4 linked regions of the Sus scrofa genome follow. The protein of the gene in region 4 purifies or fractionates together with the protein of the main gene of each other region. This does not show direct contact. Links are inferred from orthologs where the notes say so. Each region holds a gene or a part of one and is shown on either strand. Other genes may lie near its edges.

Region 1 (4,993 bases), on a different chromosome or scaffold from region 4:
CCATGTTTCTACTTGTTCATAATTATTTATCCTCTTAAAGGGCCTGTAGTATTAGTCTGATAGATCTGTTACCATTTTCTAAATTGCTCTCTAGGGAGGCTTCCGTCCATCCATTCAGCCAGTAGGCACTGAGCATCTCCACCAGAGTCGGATTAGGCGCTGGGGTTCTGCCTTCAACAAGGCCCCAGGTACAATCTGTGAGGGCCCCAGAAGCCTCTGCCATTCCTAAGTAACCTGGTGTGATTTTCTAAGAACTGGAACAGCAGAGTATGCACGTGACAATGATGCTTTCATTCTGTGCCCTTTCGTAAGCCTCCCTCCCTCCCTCCCTGGACCCTGAGTTTCTTGTGCATCTTTCCTAAAACATCAGTACACAGTTGCCCCCTTCCTACATTCCTCTGGCTGACTCTGTGATGAAAACGAGGGAAATTTGTAATGGAAGTTAAAGATATTAATCCATTAAGGCAAAACAGTAAGAGGGGGTCCTTACTGGTGAAATGTTATCCACCACTGCTCTGGAGCACATGTCCTGGTCATCCTGCCCAGAGGAAACTGCATATGGCTCTTCCCTTGTTTTCTTCCTCACTTCCTTCCTGGGCTCAGCTGGGAACCACAGGGACCCATGTTGCAAAACTGAAGGAAGTTCAACTAGCCAGCTCTGGAGAAGTCTGGAGCTGGGTGGTGTCCCTGTTCGTCCCTGTTCTCAGGTAACCAGATTTTCTCATTCCAGATACGCCCTCATTGTAGATCTTTTCATCCCATGGACACCCGCCCTCCGCAGAGCGCCCCCTGCAGGATTAGCAGTTAAGTCCCCTCCAAGTAAACTTCCACCCAGAAGCCCAGTCACTGATGCTGTTGCTGAAGGGCAGGTATTTCCGTGGGGTAGTCAGAATGTGTGAACAATTTCTCTGTGAATTATCAGATGCTCACAAAGCACCAGTTTAACTGCCTAGCGTGTGGAGGAGGAGAAGGGCTCAGGTTAAGTAAGTACCTTGCCCGAGTCACACCTGGTTTTCCCAAATCCAATTTTAATGCTCTCTCAATCCTGGCTGCACCTCAGAAATAATCTGTGACTTTTTCTTTGTCTTTTTAGGGCCGCACCTACAGCATATGAAAGTGCCCAGGCTAGGGGGTGAATCAGAGCTGCAGCTGCCAGCCTGCACCACAGCCCACAGCAACCCCGGATCCTTAACCCACTGAGGGAGGCCAGGGATCAAACCCTCATCCTCATGGATAATAGTCATAGTTCTTAATCCGCTGAACCACAACAGGAACTCCCTAATCTGTGACTTTTTGGTAAAACATGTGGACGGCTGGTCCTCTCAAGGTCTACTGAATCGGAATCCCTGAGGACATGGCACGGCACCTGTACTTGGAAAAAAGGCTGCCGGGAATCTGATAGAGAATGGGGCTTGAGAACGCCGGTGTAGGACGGGGGCCTTTCCACACCGGGCAGCCTGAGAAATGGTCCCCTGACCTCTGCTGGCCTTGGTGTTCCTTCTACGTCACCTTCTCACAGAAAATCAAAATTCAGCTCCCTAGGGGAGAGAGCCCAGACCTTGGTGTTGGTATCAGTGGTGCCCACGGCTAGAAAGGCGGTTTGGGCCTCTGAAGCTGCTTCCTCCACCCTGCCCCAGGGCGCAGCCCTCCCCACCCATCATCCCCACACTCCCCTCCAGTGCAGTCACGCCCCATGACGGGATTGGCAGAGGCCAGTGCCAACCCGAAGGTGGTCAGAGGAGGGAAATAAATGACTCAGGAACGAATACAATGATCTGACAGAGGTCCTGCCAGACTGCAAACCACAGTTCACGTGCCTCAGCATCCAGACAACACGGAGGAAATACTTACAGGTACGTGCTCTGTGCATCAGCTCCTCCTGGCTTCAGAATCTAGACAGGGAGACAAGGACCAAGGGGTTCCGTTCAGATGAGTCTCATGGAACAGAATCCAAAACTAAAGTGGAAGAAGTAACAGGATTTGAAAGAAAATGGAGGCCTCAGGCCTGTAGCATCAAGTGTGAACTCATTAAGGTGACAGCCAAGTCAGTCCACACTCTGGCGCATCCCCCCATCATCTTTCTCCTCATGCCCCACATATTGTTTCAAGAGATGACCAGTTCCTCCCTCCAGGGCTTTATACATATTCCCTCTGCCTGGAAAACTACTCCTACCATCAGCCCCAACAACACCATATTTCTTACTAGAGCAAGTATCTGCGCATTTCCCACAATGCCAGCAAGCCAGAAAGATTACAAATGAAAGCAAAACAGCCACTGGATCCACTGGGCTCAGAACCTATGAGGAAGATTTATCAGCGAGTAATAAAATAACATGCGATGCAAATCAAGGTACGGAAACTACGAGATGTAGAGCAGAGATCTGACTCTGTTGAGAAGGTCAGGAAAGGCCTCCTGGAGGAAGTGTCCCTTTAACCTGCATCTGAAGAATACCTACCAAAGGGCTATCAGAAAGGGTATCCCAGGAAATTGCGTTAAAAGAAAGAATGTCAATATCGCCGGAGCAGAGATGCTAGAGCGGGTGAGATGGTGAGGAAGACTTGCAAACCTTGCAGCGGGAAGCGGCAGTGGGAACGTTCAAAGCAAGATGAGCGATGTAGTTAGAAAGGCCTCAGGGAAAGAGCTGTGTGAACTTGGACCAGGAGGAGGCCTTTGCCAAGGACCAAACCGTAAAGAAATGACTGCGGCACTAGAGACGCCGCAGAGGGATGAACAGAAGGGGTGCAATCCGCCCGACTTAGCGATCAACTGGGAGTAAAACAGAGAAAGAACTCAAGAGAGGGGTCTCGAGTTTCGGGGTCCGGCAGCCGAGGGGATGACAGGGCCAATTCCCAGTGTTGATCCCTCCTAATGTCTGCTGCCTCTCTAGTGCCTACCGACTTTACGGTTTAGCACACGAGACTAGAATTATTTTCTTGTCCGCCTCCACTTCCAGACTGAGTAGTACAGAGGGACCAGGGTGGGCGTTATTTCTCGTACCCAACAGTGCTCAGCTCCCGGCGGAGAGCAGACTAGCGGCCAAAGCCAGGACACCGGAAAACACTGTGGTCCCGGGTGCGTGCGCCCTCAGAGTCGGGGAGCGGGGGAGACGGCGCGCACCCGGCAAAGCCCCAGGACGGATCCCTCCCCTGGCGGCCGCTCGGAACGTCAGACCCCCGCCCGAGCCCCACTCACGGTGGCCTCTGCGCCAGCTCCACGTGGGCCGCTCTGCGCGCGCGCAGAACCTGCGCCTTCTCCGGCCCCGCCTTTCGACGCGCTGGGGTGATGTGGACCACTCGGGGGACCTCACTCTTCTTCCTTCTGCGCCGGGCTAGTCCCAAACGCCATTTCTCAAAAAGGCTAGAAAAAGGGAAAGGTTCGATCTCTAGAAACTGCCTTGAGCTGGGGTGAGGATCCGGAAAAGGCCATCCAGAGGCAGTGCGCAGGTGCAGGGTGTGTCTCGCGAGAGCTCTGGTTGCCTGGTAACCGGCCGCTTGCGGGGTGTGCGGCTGGATGTGAGCGCCAGTCCCTTCGCCATTAGACTCCGAGAGGATGGTTTTCTACTTTGTAACGCAACACTCTTCCAGTGTCCTCCTTTCTGCGCCTGGGGATCTGAGCTCTTCTCGCTTTAGTTTTTAACTTACCTGAGGGTCGCAAAACCCTGACGCAGTGCCTCTGTCACTGAGTCCCTGCCGAATCCCTAGCAACGTGGAAATCAAGATAAATAGGGGATGGGGAGGTGCCGTCACAAGTCCGGCAGTTAACTGCTGCGCCAGGAGTGAAACGCCTGTGATTTTTAAATTTTTATTACAATCAGATTTAAAAGAATGAATTTACAACGAATTTGTAACAACTTTTGTTTCATAAAATGAATAGTAACAAATAATGCTGATGCACTGCAAACAGGCAGTTCTAAATTAGTCTCAGTTTGGGGCAGCAAGTCCTCATGGTCCAGCAGAATTCTTTTCTTGAAATGTCACTGACTGTCCTAATTCGGCTCTGCTCTGTTTGTACCCTGCCAGTCTCCTTATTCATCAGAAACGAGATGGAGGTGTTGGGCTTTGGAAGGCAAGAAGTTTGTATCTTGTGTTTTTTTTTGTTTTGTTTTTATTTTTTAATGTAATACTCAAAATCTTTGTTGGGGACTAACTAGCATGTATACTACCACTGATAAAAAAAAGGCTGTGAGCCTATACCCTAAGGCAGGTCAAGTAAAATAAGATCAATTTACAGACTCAGACAGTAAGTGCAACAGTTTTGGCTGTGTTAGGTAATAGCTTAGACTTCATGAATCATCCAGTCTGTTAAAAATATTAATAAGCTCCTGAAAGAGCTTCTGCAACCAGAATAATGTTTTAAAATTTAAGGCTAATTACTCCCAAATCAACCAGTTTTGAATGTAACAACTCTGGCCCTTGAATTGGTAAATTACTAATTATAGTTATCCTTTGTTGGCTTTAAATTGAATTAGATTAACCTGTGACCCAGTGATTTTTCTGGCTTCTTATGTGGTCAATGCAGTTAAATTTAATGGTGGCAGAACTGATATTTAAATGTTAAATGTAAGAATCAATTGCAAGGTCATTTTTTTTTCAAAGTAATGAAAAGGTGATACTTCATCTACTGTCAAATTACAGGGTAATGACTTAGTCCTACAGAGTGTCTCTCAAACCTTCAATGAAGCCACAGTGATTCAAGAATGATAAAAGTATCATTTCAAAGATGAAGTAATGTTGAGTGTAAATCACATTCTAAGTGATGCCACCAAATACAAGTTTTTAAAGCTCTCAGAAATTGGATAAAAAGATGAGAAATCATTGAATCAGAGTGGAAGGTTTTTAAAAAGGTTTTTAAAAATGAAATAGGCATGACATTTTTAAAATAATCTAATATTTTAATATCTAAAAAATAAAATTAAAAATAGTGTCAAATTTAGCTTTTAAGATGTAAGACAAATAGAAATGCACGTCTGATTAAAATGCTAAAGGGAAGGAA
Region 2 (5,258 bases), on a different chromosome or scaffold from region 4:
CGTACTTCCTTTACAATTACAGACAGAATGAAAAACGCAAGTCGTTACCGTTGGGCAGGAGGGCGGCAGCGTTATCCTCGTCGATGTTCGCGTTGTACGTTAGGGCAGAGCACGAACCTGGAAACGAAAAGCCCAGAGGAGAACGAAGGCGAGAAAAAAAAGGCCACTCCTGCAAAGGCTGCTGGAGTATTTTCACGTGATGACACCATCTTCCGGGTCACTGCTCCAGCTCCAGCTCCCTCAGGGGCCCTCCGACCCGACAAAGCAAAGCTGGAGGACACGAAGGCCAAGCATGGCTCGTCCACGTCGGCGCCCGGGGCCTGCTGGTGCCCGCGGACTCTACCATCGCACAGAAAATGGACTCAGGATGGAGTGCGTACCCTTGGGGATGCTGGCAGAGAGGCAGGAGGTGAGCGGGTAGGTGACTGTGCACACCTGAGAGGGAGAGGCCAGGTGAAGACTCAACTGCGCCAGGAACTTGCGTTCAAGTCAAGAAAGCTACTCAGGAGTTCCTGTCGTGGCTCAGCAGGAAGGACTCTGACGCGCCTCCAGGAGGAGACAGGTTCAATGCCTGGCCTCGCTCAGTGGGTTAAGGATCTGGCATTTTGCCGTGAGCTGTGGTCTGTCACAGACGTAGCTTGGATCCCGCGTTGCTGTGGCTGTGGTGTAGGCCAGCAGCTGTAGCTCCGATTCAACCCCCAGGCTGGGAACTTCCATATGCCGCAGGTGTGGCCCCCGCCACAAAAAAAGCAGAAACCACCATCTAATGAGCGCACACACTGGGAGATGAAGGGACCACACAGACGGTCTCTGCCAGCCCTACTCAAACAGGAGAAGCGGCAGCTCCCGTGCAGTTCAGCAGGTTAAGGATCTAGTGTTGTCGCTGCAGTGGCTCAGGTCGCTGCTGTGACTTGGGTTTAATCGCTGGCCTGGGAACTTCTACACGCCGAGGGCATGGCCAAATAAATAAATAAATGAGTTCCCGTCAGGGCTCAGCACTTAAGAACATGACTCAGCCGTTAGTATCCATGAGGATTTGGGCTGCATCCCTGGCCCCGCTCAGTGGGTTAAGGACCTGGCGTTGCTGTGGCGGTGGTGTAGGCCGGCAGCTATAGCTCCAATTCAACCCCTAGCCTGGCAACCTCCATATGCCCTGGTTGTGGCCCTAAAAAAAAAAAGCCCTAAAGAAACAAATAAATAAAAAAACAAGAAGAACTCTAGTACTTTGGTGCCCTCCCCCTGGATGTCATCTCACCACATTCACAGACACTACACGGCTTTTCTTACCTTTCTTTACAAAAGTATTAATGAATTCGTGGGTGATTAATTCATGAAGAGGTAAATCCTTCACAGAGTAATAAGGTCCAAACGCCATGACCAGGTCTTTCAGTTCTTTTGAGAGTATCCCACATTCAGGAATCAGAAAGGAAACCTATTGGTAGGCAGAATATAACAAGGCTTATTTTTAAAAGCTGAAGTATAGTGGACTTATAGCATTGTGTTCGTTTCACATGTAGAGCAGAGTGCGTGCGTGTTTTTGTAGATTTTAGTCCACGACACAGTTTAAACAAGTTTGACTTTCGTATAGATCAACACCCAGGTTTTTTCATTTCTGTATTGATGAGCAAAACAATTTTAATGGAAAGCTCTGGCTTTTGTCTTATGTTCTGCAAATGAACGATGTATTTTCGGTCCTGTTCCTTTCACTACATGAATTAACTTTTAGGAAAATATGGTACAAGTGCACATCCCCAGATCTGCGTAGCGGACAGCGGAATATCCCTACACCTGGTACCAGGCTGGAACCAAAGGAACTGTCCCTTAGGGCATAAGGAATTTAGGGACGCCAATTATTATGAGGCTTCAAAGAAGCAGAAGTCTGCTGGATGTTTCCACTTTTCAGGTAGAAAAACTCTACAGATGAGACCGGGGAGGTAAGGAACACATCCCAGGCTGCCTGTGACGAGCTCTCCATCCAAAGCAGAGATACTCAACCTGAAAGATTTCAAATGCTGCCCAAGTGCTCCACACCCTGAAAAACCACGCACCCAAAGCTGGGACACCAGTCTGGCCCAGAGGAACCAGCGTCACCACTTGTGTCTGAGGATGGGGCCGGTCAGGCCCGAGTTGAAATTAGGCTCATCGATTTAAAGTATAAAAGGCTTAAGCCATTTTCATTTTAAGGTTTTTTGAAGCCCCCTCCACTTAAATGGGTTGGTGAAGCTGGCCCACCAGACACTTGCCTGGGAGCTACAGAAGTTTTCTACTCTCAGCAGATGCTGGATAAACCAATAATTAACCTCCCTGGTGCCTCGCCCGCCGCACCCACGAAAAAGGCGCCCCGTGAGCTTGACCTTTTCACGAGGCAACAGCGAACATCGCTCTTACGTGCTCGCGAGCAGGGCCACCTCGGCGCCTTTCTGCCAAAGAGATGGCGAGAAGGTTCGCTTCCGTGGGACATCGCGGAAGGCACCAAGCAAAAGGCACAGTGTCTCAGACGTCTAACCAGGGCCGAGGGGCGGATCAGAACAGCCAGCAGCCTCCCGGCCAGACGGCGCGCGGTGCTCAGGAAAGACCCCCGCGGGCGGGCGCACTGGGAAAGGAAACCGGTTTGTGGAAGAGCGAGTCCGGTTCGGACCACGTGCGGGGCATTGCCCGCCTACCCCCGGCCCCGCCCCTCCCGGGACGCGCCCAATCTGCGACCCGGTGGGAACAAGCGGCCAGCCGCACGCCGCCCCGCTCCTTCCTCCAACGGCGGGACACCGCCCCGCGCCGGCGCATCCTGGGAGTTGTAGTCCTGTAGCGGGGCAAACCGCAGACCCGAACAGGCTAGGAGACTACAGTTCCCAGCATGCCTGGAGAGGCCCAAGCCCCTCCGCACGCCGAGGGCGGGCTCCCGAGGAAGAGAGCCCGGCTGTCCCAAGCCTCCCTCTCCTCCGCGCTATGGAGCTCGGTTCGCGGTCTCAGGGCGGAGACTTACCCTGTAATTGTAATAGTGCGTCTCCACGATATGCCGGTGGCGCGACTTGTCGTGGCCGAAGTTGGACTTCTCGCAGACCAGCAAGTGCCGGGGAACCTCCCGCAGCCTGCACAGCGTGGCCATACTCTCCCCGCGCGGGCCCTGCCGGGGCTCGGCTAGCCCCGCCCCTCCTCGCCCGCCCCGCCCCTCCTCGCCCGCCCCGCCCCTTCGCCGCGGGCATGCGCAGTGCCTGCAGGCCACACGTGTTCAGGCGGCCAGGGTAGGGGCGGGGCTGACGCAGAGTGCGGGACTAGGCTGACGGTGAACCCAGGGCAAAACTCGCTGGTGGGTACTGGGAAGGTGCGCTGCCCGAAATGAATGCTCTTGCCTGAATCCTTTCTCTAGACTGGGGTTGCTCCTTCCCAAGTTCTACACAAACTTTTGCGTAGAAAGGTAGTACTCAGTACCTTCAATAGGACTCCTTAAGACTTCTTCCGAGTTAATTTTTCTTTTTTTTTTTTGTCTTTTTGCTATTTCTTGGGCCGCACACGCGGCATATGGAGGAGGTTCCCGGGCTAGGGGTCCAATCGGAGCTGTAGCCGTCGGCCTACACCACAGCCACAGCAACACAGGTTCCGAGCCGCGTCTGCAACCTACACCACAGCTCACAGCAACACCGGGTCCTTAACCCACTGAGCAAAGTCAGGGATTGAACCCGAAATCTCATGGTTCCTAGTCGGATTCGTTACCACTGCGCCATGATGGGAACTCCCCAGAACTACTTTTAACATCCTTTTTTACATATCTTTTTGGAACTTTTTTTGGCTGCTCATGTGGCATGTGAACGGAACCTGAGCTACAGCAGTGACCCCAGCCGCTGCAGTGACAACTTCAGACCTTAGTCCACTGCTCCAGGCGGGAATCCCCTTTTGCAACTTTGTTTTTGTTTTTAGGGCTGCACCCGCTGGCATATGGAGGTTCCCAGGCTAGAGGTCAAATCCGAGGTGTAGCTGCTGGCCTACACCACAGCCACAGCAATGTGGAACTGCTTTTAATAATTTGTTGCTCTTGGAGGTTATAGTGATAACTCATTTTTCCATCTAATTTTTCTGCTTAACTCCAAGTACTGTACTACTCCACGCTTTTCAAACTGGAGGATGCACAGCCCCAGTTCTACACAGAGGATGCAAACAGAGTATTTGTGATACACCTTTCTGGAGCATTAATTTTACTAAAAGATTTGGAAGGACAGAAGTTAAGTGATTTAGGGGGTAAGTATTTGCAATTCCAAAACTAAGACGGAATTCCCGTTGTGGCTCAGCGGAAACAAATCCGACTAGTATCCATGAAGATGTGTGTGTGATGCCTGGCCTCATTCAGTGGGTTAAGGGTCCTGCGTTGCCGCGAGCCGTGGCGTAGGCCGGCAGCTGTAACTCTGATTCAACAACCCCTAGCCTAGGAACCTCCAGGGTGGGGCCCTAAAAAGCAAATATATATATATATATATATATATATATAATAAAACGAAGACAGACTGGAAAATCTTCTGCCATTAATGTCAGCGACCTATGCCTCAAATGTCAGATTATCTCAGAGCACTCTAAGCAAAACCTATTTTCCATTATTTTAAGTAGGAGAAAGAAGGAATAGCAAGTCAATCAAACAACTACCAATATCCTAAATCACAATATGGCATCTAGATGTAACTTATGAATATTGTATTAGAATATAAAATACTTAAAGCAATACTTCTTGGTTACCACACAATTCAATAGCAGTTGCTTCTCAACAACTATTGAACAACACCTGATCCTTCAACCCACGGAGACAGGCTAGGGATCGAACCCGCGTCCTCATGAATGCTAGTCAGATTCGTTTCCACTGAGCCATGACAGGAATTCCTGATCCTATTCTTAAAAACTTACTAAATAAATAAACTTACTAAATACAAAGATTTGGCACATAATATTTGGAATTTTTTTCAATTTTTTTTGAAAAAAAATTATGGCATTACCATTGTGGCTCAGCAGTGACAAATCCAACCAGTATCCATGAGGATGTGGGTTCGATCCTTGGCCTCACTCAGTGGGTTAAGGATTCCAAGTTGCTGTGGTTGTGGGGTAGGCCGGCAGCTGCAGCTCTAATTTGACCCCTAGCCTGGGAACTTCCATATGCCATAGGTGCAGCCATAAAAAAAAGAAAAGACAAAAAGAAGACAAAACCTAATTCCATGTGCAAGGATGGGCTCTAGCTCCAGACTCATGCACTGTGCTCTTCTCCCAGCCATGGACTGCCATCG
Region 3 (5,239 bases), on a different chromosome or scaffold from region 4:
AATTTCTGTTACTCAGAAACACCAAGTTGTGCATGTCATTTTTAACGTAGAAAGCTGAAGAGCAGAGCAGCAGCTGAGAATATCAATGGATAGGAGGGATGAACAATAGTTCGGAGACTGAAACAATCTGTAAGGAATGGCTGTTGGCCTGAAGGGAGATATACATATTTGCTAGCATGTTGGAGAGGGAAATCATGAGTCACTGACAGAAATATAAAAAGAACTAAATATTGTGATTACAGTTTAGTCAATAACAATGCACTTTAAGTTACTGAAAGTTAATTAACATCAAATCAACTATAAGAATCCTTATACCATGCCCTAGCACTTCACTAAAAACCTTATCATTTGCACAAATATTCATCAGCTCAACTGTTAACATATAAGACAGTGCAGAAGTTCCTGTTGTGGCACAGTGAGTTAAGATTCTGACTGCAGCAGCTTAGGTCGCTGCAGAGGTATGTGTTCAATCCCCAGGCCAGTGCAGAGGGTTGATGCATCATGCCTTGCCATATCTGCGGTGCAGGTTGCAGCTATGGCTCAGACTCAATCCCTGGCCTGGGAACTTCCATATGCCGCAGATGCAGAACTTAACAAAAAAAAAAAAAAAAAAAAAAAAAAAAAAAAAAGGAGTTCCTGTTGTGCGTCAACTAATATCCATGAGGACGTGGGTTTGATCCTTGGCCCTGCTCAGCGAGTTAAGGATCCGGCACTGCCATGAGCTGCAGCAAAGGTGGCAGACGCAGCTTGGACCTGGCGTTGCTATGGTTGTGGTATAGGCTGGCAGCTTCAGCTCTGATCCATCCCCTAGCCTGAGAACTTCCATACGCCGTCGGTGCTGCCCTAAAAAAAAAAAAAAAAAAAGGGTAAAATAAAAAAATAAACAAAAAATAAAAAAAGACAGTGTACAAAGAGTGAACTTAACAAATATGCTCATCTGCAGCTTCTATATTACAAATATACACACAAATAATTATAAATGCTAGTTATTATTAACTTCAGAAATTGTATTTTACCTGTTTCTTTTCCTTAAATTCAACAACATGATTGATGGCAACAACTGAATAGCCCACTGAAAAGAAAAATTGAACATTCTTATTAAATACAATAACCTCTCTTCCCTGTACACATAGGCTCATCCCAATTCATATCAAGACTAGAAGATAGTTAGAAGAATGGTTATGGGACAGGCTCTGGAGTCAGACTGCCAGTTTTCAAATCTTAAGTTACTTTAAGTTTCAGCTTCTTCATCTATCATATGGTGTTAATAACAGAATTTACCCCATATAACTGTCATGAGAACTAAATGAGATAACACACATAGCATGTTTAAAAATGGTGGCTGGCACAGAGTTAGGGTTTTGTTTGACCTGGGTGATGTATTATTAGCAAGACACAGAAGACCCTTAACTTTGTGCATCTCCTTTCAACCATCATTCTCTTTCAGGCCTTTTTTCATTTTCATCCCATCAAATTATATTTTTTCACTGTTATCTTCATTCTTACTCATTTTGTTTGCTCTTTACCCCTTCTGCTTTTTCAGAGGCCCCTGTGCTAAGGAGAAATGGAATAAGGACTCCCTTACATGCCACTGTCCCCATCCCCTTTTGAGTTGCCCACCAACAAGAGATTGGGAACTCTCTGAAGTCAGAGCCTAGTTTATCAGCCTCAACACAGCACTGTTTTTGGACATATGGACTACCAAAAATACATCTAAATCATGACTTAAAACGTTGAGTTAAACACCAATGGGGAGGACAGGATATTAATATTAAAGAAATAATGCATATCGGAGTTCCTGTTGTGGCTCAGCAGTAATGAACCTGACTAGTATCCAAAAAGCTGCAGGTCTGATCCCTAGCCTCATTTAGTGGATTAAGAATCCAGTGTTGCCACGAGCTGTGGTGTAGGTTCAAGCCTCCACCAGGATTCCATGTTGCTGTGGCATAGGTGGGCAGCTGCAGCTTCAACCCCTAACCAGGGAACTTCCATACCCTAAGGGTACGGCCCTAAAAGGACTAAATAAATAAATAACATATATTAATGCCAAGATAGTGGTCTTCCCTCTCAATAGTTTTTCCAATTTCCTTCTTTCTTTCCTCCTTCAAATGAGGATCCATTACTTGATAGGCCCTGCAGATATCTCTCTCTCTCTCTCTTTTTTTTTTTTTTTGCTTTTTAGGGCCGTACCTGTGGCATATGGAAGTTCGCAGGCTAGGGGTCGAATCAGAGCTATAGCTGCCAGCCTACACCACAGCCACAGCAACACGGACTTCAAGCCGCATCTGTACACCGACGCTCACCCCAACGACGGATCCTTAACCCGCTGACAGAAGCCAGGGGTAGAACCCACATCTTCATGGATACGAGTTAGGTTGTTACCGCTGAACCACAACCGGGAACTTCGAAGAAATGTCTTTATTTTTAAACCCCTCTATCTCCACTTAGACACTTTAAGTCTAAGGAAGAAGGCAGAAGTCGCGATTAACTTCGATTAGAACGATCTTACCTCTCAGGGCTTCTGCTTTCCTTGGATTCAAATACGAGTAACATTCTAGCATTCTGGCCATGCTGGTCCCTTCCCAACCTCTTGGTGTGTCCTACGCCTCAACCTACCCTCCCTCTAAATAACATTATTCCAACACTCGCAGCCCCACGTCCCACCACCCCCGCCCATTTTCGGAGCACCCAAAGCACTCCCCATCTGTGCACCAACCAGCTTTCCGCATTTGACTGAGTCAGTACACAGTGGTGAGAGGTAGGAAGGGGCGATATTAAAAGCACAGGTGGAGACTAGCTTTGGCCAGCCTTCAGCTGTGAGGCCCTATATAAGTCCCTGGCCCTGTTAGGACCTCAGTTCCCCAATTCACAATAAAGAAGGAGCTGGACTGGGTAACAGTTCCCCAGCGCTTTTCGAGTTTCCCGGGCCCGGGATCACAGCAACCCCGCAGAAGGCATCAGCTTCCAGAGACTGCCTCCAGACCCCAGAAGACCTGAATGAGGCCCGGCCGCGTCCCTTCCGAACGTGGCCCGACGATCTGGATGGCAGCGAGGCTGGGCAGGCACCGCTGCTCGCGAAGCCGCGGCGACTCACGGTAAGCGGCGTTCTCCACGAGCCCACGCAGCGCCTTGAGGTCGGAACCCGCTCGCAGGTCCAAATCCACGAACACCGCCATGCTGAAATCACGTGAACTTGCGCGGCTGTCTGCGCAGCCGCAGGGCCCGCCCCCTCGGGGCACGCTGGGAATTGCAGTTTTCCTAAGCAGTCCTCCCGTCCCTCCCGCGGACTGACGTTCCCAGGCTCTTTGAGCGCCTTCGGATCCCAGCAGAAGTTAGTGTGTGGAAGTCAGCAGCCTCACTTCAGTTCTTCTTCCTCTGGATGGGAAAGTTTTGTTTCCCTCGAAGGGGTTCACATAGCCCACCATTCCTCCTGTGAAATAATGTAGAAAATGATTCTTTCAAAATGTACGTATACAGCATTTATTGAGGACTTACAGGGAAAGAAGGTCTGGAAACCCTTAAAAAGTAAGGGTTTTAAATCCGTTTTTCTTTCCCGCCCCTAAAGGTCATTCCATTGTTTAAATTGGACTTAATGGGGAGATGGGGAAACTGACCTGACAACTCGAAAAAGGTTTGCTCGAGAAAAAAGTCATTTTGCTCAATCAGAACAGACGGTGGCACAGCATGCTAAACTCCATTACAGCCAGTATTCTCAACCTGGAGTTGGCAGGGATAAGCGGTTAGCTTCAGCACGTGTTTAGCCAAAAATGGGTTAGACAAGGGAGGTGCACAATTGAAATGTTTTACAGTTTTCCGTCTGACAGATGTACAAGGTGGAATATATCCCACAGTTGTGATGGTTCCACATTTTCGTACACATGAACTCTTGAAGAGTGATAAATTAATTATCCGAGAACATAAAACTCTGGAACTAGAGTTTACATCACTGCTTTACAAAGTACCCGTGATTACTGGGTCAGTTCACCGAGTTCCCAACCCCCCTCCCTCCACCAGTTCTTCTAGCACCAGTAGTGATCCATTGTCCTTTACCCACAGGCAGCTCTGGCCTCAAAAGATTAATCTAACATCTGAACTGCTCTATACTAGACTGAATAAGAGTCCACAAATCAGGGGCTTGGATCTCCAGACTATGCCAAAGGGATGTGAAAGTTTGTAAACATTTTCCGTTTCTTTGCTAACTTGTCACAGACAGTACACAGAGTCTCGGGTTTGTGGGCCACATCTTGATTTGTTCTTTACATGACTTCTTTCTTGGTCTCAGAAGGGAATTTTAAGAGGGATCTGTTCCATGTGGTAGTATGTAATTCTCCTTTTGGTTAAGTTCAATAAAAAAGAAATCTTCTGCTATCTAATATTTGATGTTTTCTAAGTAAGAACAGAAGAAAATTTTACTTCTGCAAATAGAAGAAAGTCATATAAAACAAACTCTGGCTTCTCATCTGAAAATCTCGTGTTAATTTTGCAGGAAGATCTAGTGTTAATTTTATAGGCGTCTTCATCTGCAGCCACAAAACCTAAATTGTTTGGAAATATGTCCGATGTGTGGTGAAGGTGAATAAGATGACTCATTATTTGATACCAGAATTAGACTACAGAGGGCTTCTTTCTTTGAAAGTCATGACGCTGTTTCTGTGGACTGTATACCCTTTAAACTTCTTATCTTCACCCTGGGCTTAGAAGGGAGGAAGAAGGACGAAAAAGAAAATGAATGAACGACAGTCACTGAGCAGTCTACTGAGGGCCAGCCTATTTGCTAAGTAGTTGCCTGCATGTTTAATTTTCAAAACAACTGAGTTAAGTGCTGCTTTTTCCACAACCTCTGCATTTTACATTTGAATCATCTGAGGCTTAGGTCATTGTGGTAGGACCACAGGTGGATCCAGGTGGCTTGGATCTATTCTCATGTCTCTATGTACTGTCTCCTGGACAAAGCAAGCAGAGAGGAGAGTTGGAGGATGGAAAAGAGGAGGGAGTAAAGACAGGGGAAAGGAAGAGGAGAATGAAGGGCGGGGGTGGGGGGAGAATGAATGGAGGGGGAGGACAGAGGAAGTAGGGAGAGAGGGAAAGGAAAGGAAGGAGATAGAAGAGGGAAGGAGGAGTGGGAAGAGAGAAAAAAGAGAATGCCATAGGGGAGATGAGAAGGGAAGAGGAGCCAGAAGTTGACTTGGGGAGTTCCAGTCGTGGCGCAGTGGTGAATGAATCCGACTAGGAACCATGA
Region 4 (4,538 bases):
CCTTTTCAGTTTGTCCTTTGCCTTACTGCACTGTCTGGTATTTACATCAATGAGAGTGGTGAAAGAAGACATGCTTGCCTTGTTCTTGATTTTAAGAGAAAGGTTTCCAGTTTTATACCGTTAAGTATGATGGTTACTGTAGGGTTTCTGTAACCCTTTACCAGGTTGGGGAAGTTCCTTCATTCTTTTTGCTAAGAGCTTTTATCATAAATGGGTTCTAAGTTGTGTTAAATGTTTTTTCTGTATCAATTAATATGATCATATATGGTTTTTTCCTTTAGTTTATTAATATGGTAGATAATACTGATTGGTTTTCTTATATGGAAACAGTCCTGCATCTTTGGAATAAACTCTACTTGGTTGTGGTGTATAATTCTTTTTTTATATACCACTAGATTCAGTTTGCTAAGATTTTGATGAGGATTTTGTTGCATTGTTCATGAGAGATATTGGTCTGTGGTTTTCTACTTTGTATAATCTCTGTCTGGTTTGGGTCTCATAAAATGGACCCTCTTCTATTTTCTGAAAGAGATTGTCTAGAATTTGCGTTTTCTTTCTTTCTTTCTTTTTTTTTTTTTTTTTGGTAGAATTCACCAGTAAAACTATGTGAGCCAAGATATTTCTTTTTATAAAGTTAAAAAAAACCTATGAATTTAATTTCCTTAATAGTTACAGAACTATGCAGATGATCTACTTCATCTTGGGTAAGTTTGGTAGTATGTGGTTTTCTGGGAATTGGTCCATAAATTGTGGAATTTGTCTGTAGCGTGGTCTATATTACTCTAAGTATACTTTAATGTATGAGGGATCTTTAGTGCTATCCTCTCTTTCATTTCTGGTAATCATAACTTGAATCTTCGTTCTCTTGTTCTTTTGTCAGTCTTGCTGGAGGCTTATCCATTTTATTGATCTTTTTCAAAGAACCAGCTTTTGGTTTGAATTTCTTTATTGTTTTCTTGTGTTCAGTTTAACGGAGGTTTTTTGGTTTGCTTTTATTAAAGTATAGTTGATTTACAGTGTTGTGCCAATTTCTGCTTTACATACAGCAAAGTGACCCAATCACACGTATATATACATTCTTTTTCTCATAATTTAATTGGTTTTTGTTCTTTATTGTTTCCTCCCATCTTCTCCCTTTGGCTTTACTTCGCTCTTTTTCTAGTTCCTTGAGGTGGAAGCTTGGATTACACTTCCATTCTTTTAAAAATGTTTCCAGAATACTCCTTGGTTCCCTGAAGAACTCCTGTTTGTCCATCAAAACTCAGCTCATATGTCACTTCTGAGGCAGAATAAAGTGGTAGACAGGCTTTCCTCCTCACCCCCAAATAGCCCCCAAACTTGTAAATATCTGAAGCTAAAAAGAACCACAGGATTTAAATGGTGCTGGGAAAGTTCTCAGGAACCTGACCACTTTACAACCTCCAGTCAAATGGAGTCGGACTCCACCCCAGGCAACAAAAAGCCGTGTAGGGGGCATAAAAATGCCAACTCAAATGTATAGGCTTACAGTTTACCCAAGGTTATATCGGGTTTCGAAACTCAGTGGCAAGAACAGGAATTGTCATCCCTATTTGAGTGATGAGAAAACTCAAGCGAAGAACAGTCAAGGACCCCAGTGCAGCTCTAACTCAGTTTCCAGTGGAACTCCACCAAAGCTAAAGCAACCTGGGCCGAGAACCCCTCCCCACTGGCCTTAGGGAGCCTCCAATCCCTCTGTGCTGCCCTGCCCTTCCCGCCAGGGGGCGCAGGTCCCTGCTCCTGGGTGGCGGGCAGAAGCCAAAGAGCTGGTGGATGACGACTGAGGAGTGCTAGTGGGTCTGCGAGCCACAGGGAAGCTGTAAAGGCTAGCCCCACGGCTCACAACTCGCGTCCCCAGGCGCTGGCCTGGAGGTCACCCTGGTCAGAGAAAGGGGAGAAGAACGGGTCCCCGTAAACTGCAGAGGAGTCCCCGAGCCAAAGAACTTGTCCTCCGCCAAGGGCCGGGCCTTGCTTGCCCCCATCTTCGGGCAGCCGGAATCTTGGACGGGAGGTCAGTTCTGCCACACCTCCTCTGACCCGAGGAACTGCGATGGACCCGGGAGTCCAGACTTCTCTTTAGGCCATTCGCGATCAAGATCAGTGGAATTCGCCGTCCTCCCTCACACCTTTGGAAGACCCTTACCCCTAAATCCTCCACGCCCCTAGAAAACCTCCTCTCTTTTCTCCCCTTCATGACTCCTCCGGGAACCGAGTACTGGGTGGGATTGGCCCAGGGAAGCTAACCTTTCTCTTTCCAGATCCTCCCCGGCTTCGACTTGGTATACGCCCCCTGCCTCTGCAGCTTACAAGTGGTAGATCCCATCACCCCCGGAAGCCTCGCGTTACTCAAACACATCGCGCGGTTTTGCGAGCAACTCAGGAAAGGGGCGGGGAGAACGGATGCCGGGAAGGCGATTCGCGGATCGCCCGGGCCTGGCCACGGGGTATGGGCGCGCCTGCGCACTCGGGGGCCTTTTCAGGAGCCTGGTACTAAGGGCGCCCGTGTTTCGGCGTTCCTGCGGCGAGTCCCTTCCCTTCTCTTCCCTTTTTGGGGCCTGGGAGTTGCGGGCAGCTCCTTCCCTTCAGACTGGTCGGCGCAACGCTCGAGTGGCCTGGCAGGGGAGCGGGCTGCGTGCGCGCTGAGGGCACTGTGGAGCGAAGAAGGTAGGCGTGGGAATAGCTGGGGCGGTGGAGGGGCCTGAGATTGGGAGCGATGTGATGGATGAATGGGAACCGGAGGTGGGGGAGATGCTTGAGCTTGAGGTAAGTGGGAAGGGACTGAGACTTGAAGCGACGAGGGGCGTCGAGTGCGACCCCTCTTGGCTGCACCGTTTGGGCGGGAAACGGGGTAGGAAACGAAACCTGGTCTCTCCTCACCCATGGCTGATCTTTCTCCCACACCAGGGCACACTGCATGGCTGAAAACCGAGAACCCCGCGGGGCCGTCGAGGCCGAGCTGGACCCGGTGGAATACACCCTGCGGAAGCGGCTTCCCCACCGCCTGCCCCGGAGGCCCAATGACATTTATGTCAACATGAAGACTGACTTTAAGGCCCAGTTGGCCCGCTGCCAGAAGCTGCTGGACGGAGGGGTAAGGGGTCAGAATGCATGCACTGAGATCTACATTCATGGCTTGGGCCTGGCCATCAACCGCGCCATCAACATTGCCCTGCAGCTGCAGGCTGGCAGCTTCGGGTCCTTGCAGGTAGCTGCCAATACCTCCACCGTGGAGCTTGTCGATGAGCTGGAACCAGAGACTGATACACGAGAGCCACTGACGCGTATCCGCAACAACTCAGCCATCCACATCCGTGTCTTCAGGGTCACACCTAAGTAAAGGAGATGAGGCCGGCCCACCTTATCCACCCATCCCATACAGCTTGGCTCAGAAGTGGCTTTTGTACTGAGTACATGAACCTCCTACCAGGACCATGTAGGATAAAGCCTATCCCCTCACCATCCAGAGGACTCTGAATTGAGAGGGTGAATATTGTCTTTTGTTGGGCTCAAGCCGTGAGTCTTCCTGAATCTTTGTGGTCTGTAACCATTGTCCTATACAATAAAAAGCATCAAGTTGTGTTAGTGCCTGGCCACCCAACTGCACCACCTCTCTGCTGTGTAAATTCAGTGTGTACCTGGAAAGGAGAGTAGGAGTAAAATTTTACAAGGACGTAGGTACAAGAGGGGAAACAGTGTTTCCTGCCTTCACAGAAAGAGCATAAATTGTACCACAGACACTGCAGCATAAAACAAACTTTAGCACAAAACAGAAGTCTGAAAATCCTGATGTTTGCTTTCAAATATTTCATTCTCTCAGGAGCTCCCACTGTGGTGCAGTGGGATTGGGAGTGCTGGGATGCGGGTTGGATCGCCATCCCCACACACTGGGCTAAGGATCTGATCCTGAGCCCAGGAGCTCTATATGCCTCAGGGCAGCCAAAAAAAAATTTTTTTTTCATCCTCTCAGAAGAAGGCAGGGTGGATAATGTGTATATTCTTGCCAGCTGGGGTGTAAAGCATCAGGCACTACTCTGGTGCTGGTTACCAGGCACAGGAAAGGTGAGGGTATAAGGATGATGGACGCAAAGACAGGCCCCTCCTTTGTAAAAGGCTGTTAAGGCTGTCGTGGGAACCGACAAACTGACAGCTACATTCGATTCCTGGTGGCGGGGGGCAAATTGTTCTAAACAGCTATTCAGACCCCTCTGGCTAGGCTATTCTAAGAGGGAAAGGAAAGCCTTTCCTCTGAATTACTGGGCATACAGGCCATAAGTACTTTTTTGTTTGGATATTTGTAGGAGGATCTGATTTCTCATGTTTATCAAACGAGTCATCTAAAGCAATGTTATCCAAGTGGGTGGTGACCGTTTGTGAGGTTTAAAATCAATTCACTGGGTCATAGCCTTTTAAAAAGCAAGTAAAAAAGAAAAAGTGCAGCTTCAATGGTAATATCTTGTTGACACTGTTTCAGTTGTAGATGTGTATATAGACACATGTACTAGTTATGACATAAATCTTAC

The links.
Region 1: the proteins of POP7 (region 4) and RPP38 purify together in Homo sapiens (co-immunoprecipitation; 3 studies listed by BioGRID and IntAct, with this or other methods). This does not show direct contact. The link is inferred for Sus scrofa from reciprocal best matches to the Homo sapiens genes POP7 and RPP38.
Region 2: the proteins of POP7 (region 4) and RPP40 purify together in Homo sapiens (co-immunoprecipitation; 4 studies listed by BioGRID and IntAct, with this or other methods). This does not show direct contact. The link is inferred for Sus scrofa from reciprocal best matches to the Homo sapiens genes POP7 and RPP40.
Region 3: the proteins of POP7 (region 4) and RPP30 purify together in Homo sapiens (co-immunoprecipitation; 4 studies listed by BioGRID and IntAct, counting the BioPlex papers as one, with this or other methods). This does not show direct contact. The link is inferred for Sus scrofa from reciprocal best matches to the Homo sapiens genes POP7 and RPP30.

Annotation. Positions count from the first base shown.
Region 1 is NC_010452.4:46,722,515-46,727,507, forward strand, and holds the start of RPP38 (ribonuclease P protein subunit p38), read right to left. Parts: upstream 3,449-4,993; 5' UTR 3,194-3,448; intron 1,957-3,193; 5' UTR 1,852-1,956; intron 6-1,851; exon of another isoform or gene 1-5. UniProt on the Homo sapiens protein: Component of ribonuclease P, a ribonucleoprotein complex that generates mature tRNA molecules by cleaving their 5'-ends. Also a component of the MRP ribonuclease complex, which cleaves pre-rRNA sequences.
Region 2 is NC_010449.5:3,002,140-3,007,397, forward strand, and holds the start of RPP40 (ribonuclease P protein subunit p40), read right to left. Parts: upstream 3,161-5,258; 5' UTR 3,104-3,160; coding exon 2,981-3,103; intron 2,594-2,980; exon of another isoform or gene 2,355-2,593; intron 1,433-2,354; coding exon 1,288-1,432; intron 118-1,287; coding exon 49-117; intron 1-48. UniProt on the Homo sapiens protein: Component of ribonuclease P, a ribonucleoprotein complex that generates mature tRNA molecules by cleaving their 5'-ends. Also a component of the MRP ribonuclease complex, which cleaves pre-rRNA sequences.
Region 3 is NC_010456.5:102,563,990-102,569,228, reverse strand, and holds the start of RPP30 (ribonuclease P protein subunit p30), read right to left. Parts: upstream 3,428-5,239; 5' UTR 3,177-3,427; coding exon 3,095-3,176; intron 1,073-3,094; coding exon 1,017-1,072; intron 1-1,016. UniProt on the Homo sapiens protein: Component of ribonuclease P, a ribonucleoprotein complex that generates mature tRNA molecules by cleaving their 5'-ends. Also a component of the MRP ribonuclease complex, which cleaves pre-rRNA sequences.
Region 4 is NC_010445.4:8,605,771-8,610,308, forward strand, and holds POP7 (ribonuclease P protein subunit p20), read left to right. Parts: upstream 1-1,760; 5' UTR 1,761-2,029; intron 2,030-2,276; 5' UTR 2,277-2,682; intron 2,683-2,895; coding exon of another isoform or gene 2,896-2,932; coding exon 2,933-3,355; 3' UTR 3,356-3,621; downstream 3,622-4,538. Other genes in the region: branchpoint-bridging protein-like, read right to left, coding at 2,896-2,934. UniProt on the Homo sapiens protein: Component of ribonuclease P, a ribonucleoprotein complex that generates mature tRNA molecules by cleaving their 5'-ends. Also a component of the MRP ribonuclease complex, which cleaves pre-rRNA sequences.